Linked DNA regions of Sus scrofa. The protein of the gene in region 2 interacts with the protein of the main gene of each other region in a pairwise test. Links are inferred from orthologs where the notes say so. Each region holds a gene or a part of one and is shown on either strand. Other genes may lie near its edges. The genes, in order: SYT6, ZBTB43 and PSMD3.

Region 1 (3,649 bases), on a different chromosome or scaffold from region 2:
AAGGGAGGAAACATCTCCATGGCTTGGAGCCCCATGTCAGCCTCAGAGCCTGAGGCAGGGGGTTGGCAGGGACAGCACCCTCCTCTATCAGGTGGGGAGCAGGACGCCGAGGCATTCCAGCAGGGTGCTGTTTAATTCAACAGCCAGACGTGCTTCCCATCTCTGAAGTTTCCTAGTTCCTGCTGCTCAGAAGCTTGCTGGTACTGGGATCCCCGGTCATGGTGCTTCTGGGGGCAGGAGAGGCAGCAGAGTGTGTGCTCCGAGCTGGGTTCATTTTTGAAGGATGACCACATTTAAGGACAAAGTGGATCCAAGGCCTGGCCCAAACATGGAATGGCGAGTGGACGTCTCCTTGGTCAGCAGCAGGTCCTGGGCCAGTCCCAAGTACCAAGTGAGTTTCGGGAGAGGCAAGAAAACTGCCAAGGCAGAGGGACTCACAAAGAATGACTGAGCTGAGGGCTAGCAGCAGATCTGCAGGGAGAGGGGATCCTGATGGCTGGAGTGCATCTTGTAAGGGACACTGACCAAGCCAGGCAGTGCAGGGACTCAAAGGGACCAGTGACCGAGAAGGGTGAGCTGGAGAATGTGGTGAGCCCCAGAAGGCCTGGTGATCTGGAGGCTGCAGCCACGGGGCAGAGGTAGGGCAGGTGAGGCCAAAGCAAGAGGGGGAGGACCTGGACCCGAGTCTGATCAGAGCTGAGAAGGCATATTGAAGGGGCCGAATTCTACTGAAGAACCAATATTGCTATCATTGCCTTACAGACCCTGGGACTCCCAGCATGGAGGCCAGACCCTCGGGTCTTAAAGACACGGTGCTCTGCCTCGGAGAGCCTTCCCCTGGGCCCCCACGGGTGCTGCGTGCCCCTCACCTGCTCTCTTGTCTGCTTCTTTGCAGGAAAGTGTGGATCTGGGGGAGATCATGTTCTCCCTCTGCTACCTGCCCACAGCAGGCAGGCTCACCCTCACGGTGATCAAGTGTCGGAACCTCAAGGCGATGGACATCACGGGCTACTCAGGTACCTTTCCTCCCCGAGGGCCTGCCCCGTGGCCTCTCGGCAACCCAGATGTTTAGATTTGGAGAGATGCTGAGAGAGAAGGGGGAAGAATCGTCAGTACTCTTAGATAGGAGCACAGCCCTGGAGGCAAACGGCCTGGCTGTGAAGGCCAGTTCTGCCACTTTGCTGTGGGATGCTTTGGTTTCCTGACCAAAAAAAAAGAAAAAAAAAAATGAAAAAGAACCACGAAAAAGAAAAAAAAAAAAAAAAAGAAAAAAATTTATGCAGGTTGCTTTAAGGATAAACATGTAAATGCTTAGAAATGTGTCAGACACATAATGAGCACTCAGTAGGTATCAGCTATTACTATCATTCTTTCTCTTTGATGATGGAGAGAAGAAGTAAATAAATAGAAAAAAATAAGGAAAAATCTTTCTAGTTTGTGTGAGGTCTCGGGACTGCCAAGGGTTATGTCAAGTTTGAGTGTCCAAGTGTCTGTAGGTCCACGCAGCCCTGCGGCAGCCCTGCAGACTGAGTCAAAGGAACAGAGCCAATGACAAGCAAAGCGCATTTGTATTTGAGGTTTTCCTGCAGGGCCCTGGGCCTCCGTGTCAGCACCAGGAGAGCTGCTGGGTACAGCAGGAGTAAGCAAGTCCTGTTCTAGCAACCGAGGAGGTGCTTGTTTAAATGCAGCTCGGAGCCTGCAGGCTGGATGTGGTGTCACAGGCTTAATCCTTTTGCACGATGCTGCAGGTCGTTGTCAGAGAAGGTTTCTGAGTTCTGATGTAACAGAGGAGTCCCTGGCGCCTCCATCCCTGTGTCAGCTCACATTAGCCCAGGAAGTGAAATGGGCTGGAGTGCCTCAAAGAGCAGGCACGTACGCCGGGCTGCACTCAGAGCAGCAAATGCAGGGAAAGGCTGGGTTTATTTTCTTTGACCCCTACCCAAGGGGCTCTTTTGAAGATTCCAATCACCAATGTAAATCCACTCCAGAGGTGCCTCTGAACTTGGCGGAGAGTATATGGAAGATTTTTCCTTTGAATCATTCATTATTTCCTGGAAAACTCCTTAGTATAATCAGAGTGGCCAGGAAGCGGGGACGGTCCAGCTGGAAAACATCTGGGCCCAGGCCCAACCTGGCGCAGCTGGAAGGAGATGAGACATGAGGCCTTGAAAAATGAGGTTTCGGGGAAGGGTAGTCAAGAAACGCTGAAGGAAGGTGTGTTTGCTGCGGCTCTGAGTCCCTCAGAGCCTCTGCTCCCAGCCCCCACCGCGTCTCTGCAACACTCAGGTCTTTCAGGCCAAAAGCTGCCCCAGACAGTGCCTGCCCTGGCACGTCTCCTTCCACTGAAGCTGCCACCACACACCAGGTCGTGGCGAGGAGCTCAAACCACCTCTCCTGACACTGTGCAAACCTCTGAGGCAGCAGGAAGCAGGGCCTCCTCTAAATATACAGCCAATGTAGATTTCATTTTAATATCAAAATAAGTATGTGCAGGGATGGAAATTCACTGAGGACTCTCAAGACTGCTGAAGGAAATAGGATTTTGCTGCCCCAGTCCCCACACTATCTTCTCTGGTGTAATTAAATTGATGGGCTAGAGAGAAAGCTTACGGCAAAGCCACCAAGGTAATCTTAAAGGCTGTTCCACGTCAGAGGGTTGGGGGGCAAGAGATTTTTCTCCTGCGAAGTTCTAACCTCCCTCTCAAGATCGCCCCTCTTTTCTACCTGACTTTGGAATCTGGTATTCAATCTCGGCTGCATTCTGAAAATCCCGGGGTCCTGTTTTTGTCAGGGCTGTCTATCTATTTTGTTCACTGATAGAAGCAAACGTATGAAACAGTGCATGGAACATAATAAGCACTGGATAAATATGTACTGAATGATGAATAAATGATGAATGAATGAACGAACAAACTTACAGCGTAAGGAACCTTGTCAGAGGGTGATGCTGTGGGGACGCACATGCCAGGGGCCTCTCACACCAGATCTCCTGTTTCAGAGGATAAGGCTGAGGTTGCCTTCAGCTCAGACCGCTTTGATGTTAGACTAAACGAAGGAGCGCATGGAGCTCATTAATTGCCTGTTCTTGATGTATATGACACTGACCTCTAAAACCCAGCATCTTCCTATTCTCCTTGATCCAGTCCAGTCATGAATCAATTCTCTAAGCCTATCCACTAAAACTATGGCAATAAAAATAATACAAAATAATAATAAGGATGAGTACGCCCCAAAGGGGTGGTAAGTCGGTAAGCCTGCCCATCTCTGCCACCCCTGGTCTATACTGCTCTCTGTCCAGGGATTACAAATGTAAACTTTGGAGTCAGGCCTAACTTCAAATCTTAGGCAGGTTTCTTAATCTCTCAAACTTCCATTCCCCTATCTATAAAAGAGAGATGATGATAAATATAGAGTTGATGTGATGTTTAAATGACATGGTATGTGTGGAGTTTCTGCTGTCACACGAGGAGACTGGCAGCGTCTCTGTATCGCAAGCACACAGAGTCGACCCCCAGCCCAGCACAGTGGGTTAAAGGAGCCAGCGTTGCTGTAGCTGTGGCATAGGTCACAACAAGTGTGTGTGGATGTGATCCGTGGCCCAGGAACTCCATATGCTGCAGGGCAGCCAAAAAAAGACATAAATAAATAA
Region 2 (3,649 bases):
CTCAAAGCTCTCTACCAGGCCATTATAACTACTGCTGCTTGGAGACTGGTGGTCACTGCCATGATTTAGCTTCTGACAAAGGACTGTGGGGTTTCCCTCTAAAACCTCAGTGCATTTGTCTACCACATGCCACATCTGGAGGAAGCTTGCTGCTGTTAAGTAACTGACAATTTCTGGAGCAGGCATTACTAGACGTCCCGTGTAACTTGATAGGAGAATGTTCTCAAACACTCTGGGGTTCATCACATCAGGCAAAACAATCCTCCTGCTGTTTTTCAGGAGTACCTGGTCACAGAAGTAGGGTGAACTGGCAGCAAGAACAGCTTTGTGTGCCCGGAAAATGTGGCCTTGGACAACAATGGAGACATCACATAATTGTCCCTGCTGGCGCTGCTGGTTTAGTTTCTGCAGAATGGTGCTGGAAAAATCAGGAAATTCTACTCGAAAAGAGTTTGTTCCAGGCTCCATTTCATCACAAATCTCGTTCGGTGCTACAAGAAAGAGAAAAATCAGTACTAATTCTAGCCCCTAGAGAAACGTACTGATCACTAAGAAAATTAAGACAAGGTCCACAGTTCCACAAAGTTCCCCCTACTTGTGGGCAATGTGGGTGGAGCTGTCATCCTCCAGAGCAAGGCTTGCAGGTGTAACGGTGCCAAAAGCAAGCACCACCCACCATTCTTTATGGTATTAATTCTTGATTTTGCCTGTGTCTGAGTGGGAAAATGGAATCCAGAAATATTTGAAGCTATATAAATCCCAAGTAAAACAAAATAATTTTAAGAAGACAACATTTTTATTTATTTTATTTTAGCTTAGTCTTTTTAGGGTTGTCGCACCCATGGCATATGAAGGTTCCCAGGTTAGGGGTCAAATCAGAGCTGTAGCTGCCAGCCTACACCACAGCTCACAGCAATGCTGGATCCTGATCCACTGAGCAAGGCCAGGGATCGAACCTGAGTACGCATGGATACTAGCTGGGTTTGTTAACCACTGAGCCATGATGGGAACTCCAAGAGAGTGTTTTTAGAATGAAGTATTAATTTATGGTTTATAGCTCTTAAAACATTTCATAGGAGATCCTTGTGAACTGTGTCACAATGGGATTGCAGCATCTCTGGAGCCCTGGGACGCAGGCTGAACCCTTGCCTGGCACAGTGGGTTAAGGATCCAGTGTTGCCACAGCTGTGGCATAGGTCACAAGTGTAGTTCAGATCTGATCCCTGGCCTGGGAACTCCATATGCCATGGGGTGGTCAGCAAAGAAAAAAAAAAAAATAATAATAATACCAATTTAATAATATTTTTGTCTTTTTTTTTTCGGGCTGCATCTGCAGCATTCGGAGATTCCCAGGCTAGGGGTCGAGTTGGAGCTGTAGCTGCCAACCTACGCCACAGCCACAGCAATGAGAAATCTGAGCCACGTCTGCAACCTACTCTGCAACTCACAGCAATGCCGAATCCCTAACCCACTGAGTAAGGCCAGGAATCGAATCCATGTCCTCCTGGAAACTAGTTGGGTTCGTTAACCATGGAGCCCCAATGGGAACTCCCAAATTTAATAATTTTAAAGAAAAAATTTAAAAACAAGCCAGGAAATAAACTACTTAGGTGTCTGTATTTTCAAAGGAAAATTTAACTATATAAATGTATAGCCTAGAGGTTATGTAAATTTTGAGAGCTACATCTGGAGTCTCTGCTCTGGTCACTGAAGAATTTTGTTTGTAGCTATCTGAAAAACAGGGGGGTGGGGGGTGGGAAGGGATGATACACATAAAAAATTTACAAAAAGTTGTTAGAAAAACCTCTCCATTTAGCCCCAGTTTCTTCCCCCAGAAGAAATCACCATTAACAAACTCCTGTGTATATTTCTAGAAACTTCTGTATGCATTATCAGAATAAATAATATACATCCTTTAAAAATTTCTACCCACAACTGCAACTCAGGTTCAATCTCTGGCCCGGCAAATTTCCCTATACTGCAGGTGCGGTCCCCCAAAGATATAAAGAAATAAAAATTCCTATGCAAATTAGCTCATCACCTACATTCTATTCTACACTTAGCTTCTGTCATTCAATTTGTCTTGCAGATCATCCGACATGCTATAGACTGATTTGACTGTGTCCTTAAATTCACATGTTGAAACTCTACCTCAATGTGGTGGGTATTTGCTTTGGGGGACGATTAGACAATGAGGGCAGAGCCCACTTGAATGGCATTAGTGACCTTATAAAGGAAAGAGACAACACAGAAATCCCTTGTCCCTTTGGGAGTTCCTGTTGTGGCTCAGCAGTTAACAAACCTGACTAGGATCCTTGGGTTTGACTGCTGGTCTCACTCAGTGGGTTAAGGATCCAGTGTTGCCGTGAGCTGTGGTGTAGGTCACAGACATGGCTCGGATCTCAAGTCGCTGTGCCTGTGGTGTAAGCCAGCAGCTACAGCTCCAATTTGACCCCTAGCCTGGGAACCTCCATATGTCACAAGAGTGGCCCTCAAAAGACAAAAACAAACAAACAAACAAACAAACAAAAAATACAGAATTTCAATTGTCTGGGTCTTTGAAATTATGAGCAACACCACATCGGACATCTGTGCATAACTATCTTGGCATATCTCTGGAAATATCTAGAGAGCAATGTCTACCACTGGAATTGCTAGGTCAAAGTATTATGTGCTTAAGATATGTAATATATAATCTCAATATATATAAACTGAATAAAGCCAGTTTCCAGAAAGGTTGCTTCTAGTTACACTCCTGCCCCACTAAATGACAGTGTCTATTTCCCTGCACCCTTACCAATGCTGGATTTTATCAAACAAGAAAAAAAGTGTGCAAATCTCCTAAGGGAATAACCCATGATTCATTGTTTTGATCAACATTTCTCTAGTTATGAATGAGAGTGGTATTTCACTCATGTTTACTGGTCATTTGTTTTTCCTATATATATGAATCATACCCTTTGCTCAAATAAACTGACCAATTCATCTTATTGATTTTTGTAAATTCAGGAGGTTAACTTCAAAATTTATGTAAATTGTCCAATTTTTCCTTTTATGGCACCAGGGTTTTGTGTTAGATACACAAAGGCATTCCTGACTCCAAGATTATTTTTAAAAAGTAAAAAGAAATATTTAGGTTTTATTTCTGGCATGGTTTTTTTTTTAACCACACTCACAACATGAGGAAGTTCCTGGGTCAGGGATCGAAACCATGCCACAGCAATGACAATATGAGATCCTTTAACTACTAGGCCACCAGGGAACTCCTTCTGGCACCATTTTTAAAAAAGGCATTTAAATCTTAATACACAAAGTTTATTTTGGCATAAGGAGAAGGTTGGGATCTAATTTTTTCTTTCTCCTCCAAAATGGTGAACCTATTTTTCCTACACTATTTATTGAAAAACTATCTCAATGTTTCCTCAGTATTTCAAGTATGGTTTTACAATTTTATATGACTAAGCCTTTTTTTTCTTCCCCCCCTTTTCCTCACTTTTTAGGGCTGCACCCACAGCATATGGAGGTTTCCAGGCTGGGGGTCCATTCGGAGCTGTAGCTGCTGGCCTACGCTAGAGCCACATCAAAGCCAGATCCCAGCCGAATCTGTGACCTATACCACAGCTCATGGCAACGCCGGATCCTTAACCCA
Region 3 (4,310 bases), on a different chromosome or scaffold from region 2:
TTGGGCCTGGCCAAAAAAAAGAAAAAGAGAGAGAGAAACTAGGGCACAGAGATGATGGGTGCAAAACTGTTTACAATAGAAGAAAATGGAAACAAATGTCTAAGAATACTGGAGTGCAATCAATTGGTAGCTTCTTAGTTACCTTTGTAAATTCAGCATATGGTGCCTGGGTCACATTAATGATATATACTAATGATAACAGCTAATATTTATGAAGGGTTTTACTAGGTTTTTGGGTTTTTTTGGCCACATCATGTGGTGGCTTGACGTGGGATCTTAGTTCCCAGACCAAGGACAGAACCTGGGGTGCAGTGATGAAAGTGCCGAATCCTAACTATTAGACTACCAGGGAACTCCCCTTTATTATGTTAGGCACCATTCTAAGCTTTTTTCTTTTTTTAATGGCTGTTCCTGGGCGAGGGGCTGAATCCGAGCTGCAGCTGTGATCTATTCTGCAGCTGGGCCAAAGCCAGCTCCTCTAACCCAATGAGTTGTGCTGGGGAACGAACCAGTGCCTCTGCAGCAACCCAAGTTGTCGCAATCAGGTTCTTAACCCACTGTGTCACAGTGGGAACTCCTAGTTCTAAGCATTTGAATCGTCACAATAACTCAATTAAGTAAACACTAGTACTTTCATTTGTAGAGATAAGAAAACTAATTTCAGAGCTCATATTCTTTGCCACTATGTCAGGTATTCAATAAATGTTTCTGGAATACACTGAGTGCTATGTTTACGGATGTGTTACATGAAAGCACACAAACCCATCTGTATTTAGTTATGCCCTGTTCCTAACTGGTTATATAGCCTTGATCTCCATTATGGGAGAACAGCTCAAAAATTCATGGGAAAAATGTTAACCATGGCTGTTTTTACCCCCTTCTACTTCAGAGCTTTCATATTAAATGAGGTGTTTAAAAGAAACATGAGAGTTCCCTGGTGGCTCAGTAGGTTAAGGACCTGGCATTGTCATTGCTGTGGTGTGGGTTCGATCACTGGCTTGGAAACTTTCGCATATAGTCGACTCTCATAAACCGCAAAAAAGGATCTTATTTAGATAATAAGTCTGCTGTCCAACTTTATTTTATTTTATTTTATTTTTTGGTCTTTTTTTGCTATTTCTTGGGTCGCTCCCGTGGCATATGGAGGTTGCCAGGCTAGGGGTCGAATCAGAGCTGTAGCCACCAGCCTATGCCAGAGCCACAGCAACGCGGGATCCGAGCCGCGTCTGCGACCTACACCACAGCTCACGGCAACGCCGGATCCTTAACCCACTGAGCAAGGGCAGGGACCGAACCCGCAACCTCATGGTTCCTAGTCGGATTCGTTAACCACTGCGCCACGACGGGAACTCCTGCTGTCCAACTTTAGAGTAGGAGCTCATGCAGTCAACACTATCACACTCTCAAAACACCACTCAGGTGCATCAATTTGCTTATTTCCATGTGTTTTTTGTTTTGTTTGGTTTTTCAGGGCCTCACCCATGGCATATGGAGGTTCCCAGGCTAGGGGTTGAATTGGAGCTGTAGGTGCCAGCCTATACAACAGCCACAGCATGCCAGATCCACTCTGTGTCTGCGACCTACACCCCAGCTCACGGCAACACTGGATCCTTAACCCACTGAGTGAGGCCAGGGGTCGAACCCGCAACCTCATGGTTCCTAGTCCGATTTGTTTCCTCTGAGCCACAACGGGAACTCCTACTTCAATGTTTTTGAGCGAGGTTCTTATGCAGTTAAGTACAGAGAAAATCAATAAATAGTCTGGTCCTATTTGATCCAGAACAGAAAAACAACATCAAGATCACAATGAGAAGCTCTCACTCTACCCACTCCGAATGTGGACAGGGAGCTCTGAGTAAGAAAAGCGAAATATGAACTTGGAGGAACGAGAGAATGATAGGAAACTGGCAACAGGTGCCGAGGAGAAAAGAAATGGGCTGGGGGTTGTTTAGGTGGAAGGCAAGTACGAGGAACTCAAACAAGGTGTGTAATATATTTAAACTTTAGAAACAGTAGGAGTTTGGGCTTAGAGGAGGAGAAACAGGGCAAAGGGGATCGCGCGGGCATCTCAATTACAGCAACTAGGAAGCAAGATGCTATGTAAAAAGAGCTCTTTTAGGGCAGTTTGCTAAAGGTAGTTAAGACAACAAACCATTCTTAAAACTCGGGGCCAGTATTCTGCGTCATCCTGACCTCCTTCGCACATGACTACACTGGTTTTTAGAGAGGTCAATCATACACTGGGGACGCCAGAATCAGTGTAAAAGGAGTAATAACGTCAGAGGAGAGAATTCAGAAAAGGGAGTCTACGGGCCCAATGACATCTAGTTCTGGACGCAACCCCAGGTTGCGGAGAGGTGTGTGCGAAGGGCCTGAGCCCGGAGAGAAGGCTCGGCTAGTGAGGCTGGGGTCGGAGTGTGAGGGAAGTAGGGGCGGGCACCTGGGGGTGATCTCAACGAACTAGGGGTGGTAGAGGCTGCGCTGGATCACCGCGGCGCTGTCACCCGTGGTCATGGCATGCCCACGGCCCGCGCTCTCGTACCCTCCAAGGTGACGGTGTCCAGCTCTCGCTGGGAGTGCTCAGCCGCCGCCGCTGCCGCCTTGCCATCGGTCTCCCCGGTTGATGCGCCACCGGCCGCTGCCTCTTCTTTCATCTCCACATCTTGAGGGGCTGGGGGCGGCGGTGGTTCCTGCTCCGCTCCGCCGGGCGGTGGCTTTGCCTTGTCCGTGCCACGGCGCCGCGCCGAGCCCTCCTGCTTCATGGCGCCCGGGGTCGCGGCCTAGTCCGGGGACCGAGGCCGGGGCCTCGGGTGAATCCTCGCACCGGAGACCAGGAACCGAGCCGGGCCTGCACACGAGCGCGGGCTCGCGTCGGGCCGCACGATGACGGAGCAGCTGCAAACCCCTTCCCGGCGCTGGGCCTTGTGGGAAATGCCAGGCCGAGTGGGCCAATTGCCGAGTCCACAAAGGGGAGAAAAATCAACAGCCGATGTGCGGATGGAGGCGGATCTTCGAGGAGGAGCGGGGAGGAGCCTGTAGGGGTTTGTCCGGCTTGTTTTGAACTGTTTCTGTGTGTTTTTTTCCTTTGTGTTCCTTTCCGGTGTATTTCTATGTATGTCCGCATGAGGTCCCCTCAGGCCCCCACTGGGTCACTGCGGACTCTAAGCACCCAACTTCGATGAAATGGGTAGGGTCTATCCAAGCGCAGAGCGTGATGACGCCACGAGTTGCCAGGCGAGTTTCATGCCTAAACTCGCTCAATTTGCAGTTCTCAACCGCCGCTTGATGCAACTGGCGCGAGAGAAGAAAAGAAGCTGCGAAGGGATGTTGAGCTAGGCTGTTGGGCTGAAAACTACACCGAATTGGAGACGAGGAAGAACCCCATGGGATTCAGACTTTCTTGTCCGATTTTAGCTAGTGCTGAAAATAAGGCATAAAATCTCTGCAGCCTGGGAGTGCGGATGCGGGGAGAGTGCATTTGCGTATAATCACTTATAATTTAGTAAAATTTAGGGGTCCACTCTATGTGAGGCTCAGGGCTAGCACATTTCAGGGGGCAGGGTGGTGGAAAAAACAAACAAACAAACAAACAAAAAAAAAACAGCTCCAGAAGTTCTCTTTGTGGCTCAGCAGTAACAAACCCGACTAATATACATGAAGATGCAGGTTCAATCCCTGGCCTCGCTCAGCGGCTTAGGAATCTGGCGTTGCCATAAACTGCGGTGTAGGTCGCAGACGTAGCTCGGGTCTGGCATGTTGCTGTGGCTGTGGTGTAGGCTGGCTGCTGCAGCTCGAATTCCAACCCTAGCCTGGGAACTTCCATATGCTGCAGGTGCAGCCCTAAAAAGCAAACAAAAACAAAAAACAAAAAAAAACCCCGCAAACCAACACTCCCCACCCCCCCGCGCGCCAGAAAAAAAACAACCCAGAAAAACAGCTCCAGAGCGTGGTCTGCTGGAAGCTCTGCTCTGGGCTGCCATGTATTGTGATGCTGGACACAAGAGGGTGGAAGATGATGATGGAGACTCTTCACTGTAGTGAAATGGGGAACAGAATAATAGTCTACCTAAGGTGGGCTTAAGAATCCCCCAGGGGAGGAGTTCTCGTCGTGGCGCAGTGGTTAACGAATCCGACTAGGAACCATGAGGTTGCGGGTTCCGTCCTTGCCCTTGCTCAGTGGGTTAACGATCCAGCATTGCCGTGAGCTGTGGTGTAGGTCGCAGACGCGGCTCGGATCCCGCGTTGCTGTGGCTCTGGCGTAGGCTAATGGCTACGGCTCCGATTCGACCCCTAGCCTGGGAACCTCCATA

What was found.
Region 1: the proteins of ZBTB43 (region 2) and SYT6 interact in binary tests that used the Homo sapiens proteins (3 or more experiments, as listed by UniProt). The two-hybrid records come from large-scale screens. The link is inferred for Sus scrofa from reciprocal best matches to the Homo sapiens genes ZBTB43 and SYT6.
Region 3: the proteins of ZBTB43 (region 2) and PSMD3 interact in binary tests that used the Homo sapiens proteins (3 or more experiments, as listed by UniProt). The two-hybrid records come from large-scale screens. The link is inferred for Sus scrofa from reciprocal best matches to the Homo sapiens genes ZBTB43 and PSMD3.

The regions. Positions count from the first base shown.
Region 1 is NC_010446.5:106,471,290-106,474,938, forward strand, and holds part of SYT6 (synaptotagmin-6), read left to right. Parts: intron 1-895; coding exon 896-1,016; intron 1,017-3,649.
Region 2 is NC_010443.5:267,405,061-267,408,709, reverse strand, and holds part of ZBTB43 (zinc finger and BTB domain-containing protein 43), read right to left. Parts: intron 492-3,649; 5' UTR 469-491; coding exon 1-468. UniProt on the Homo sapiens protein: May be involved in transcriptional regulation.
Region 3 is NC_010454.4:22,357,609-22,361,918, forward strand, and holds the start of PSMD3 (26S proteasome non-ATPase regulatory subunit 3), read right to left. Parts: upstream 2,943-4,310; 5' UTR 2,763-2,942; coding exon 2,543-2,762; intron 1-2,542.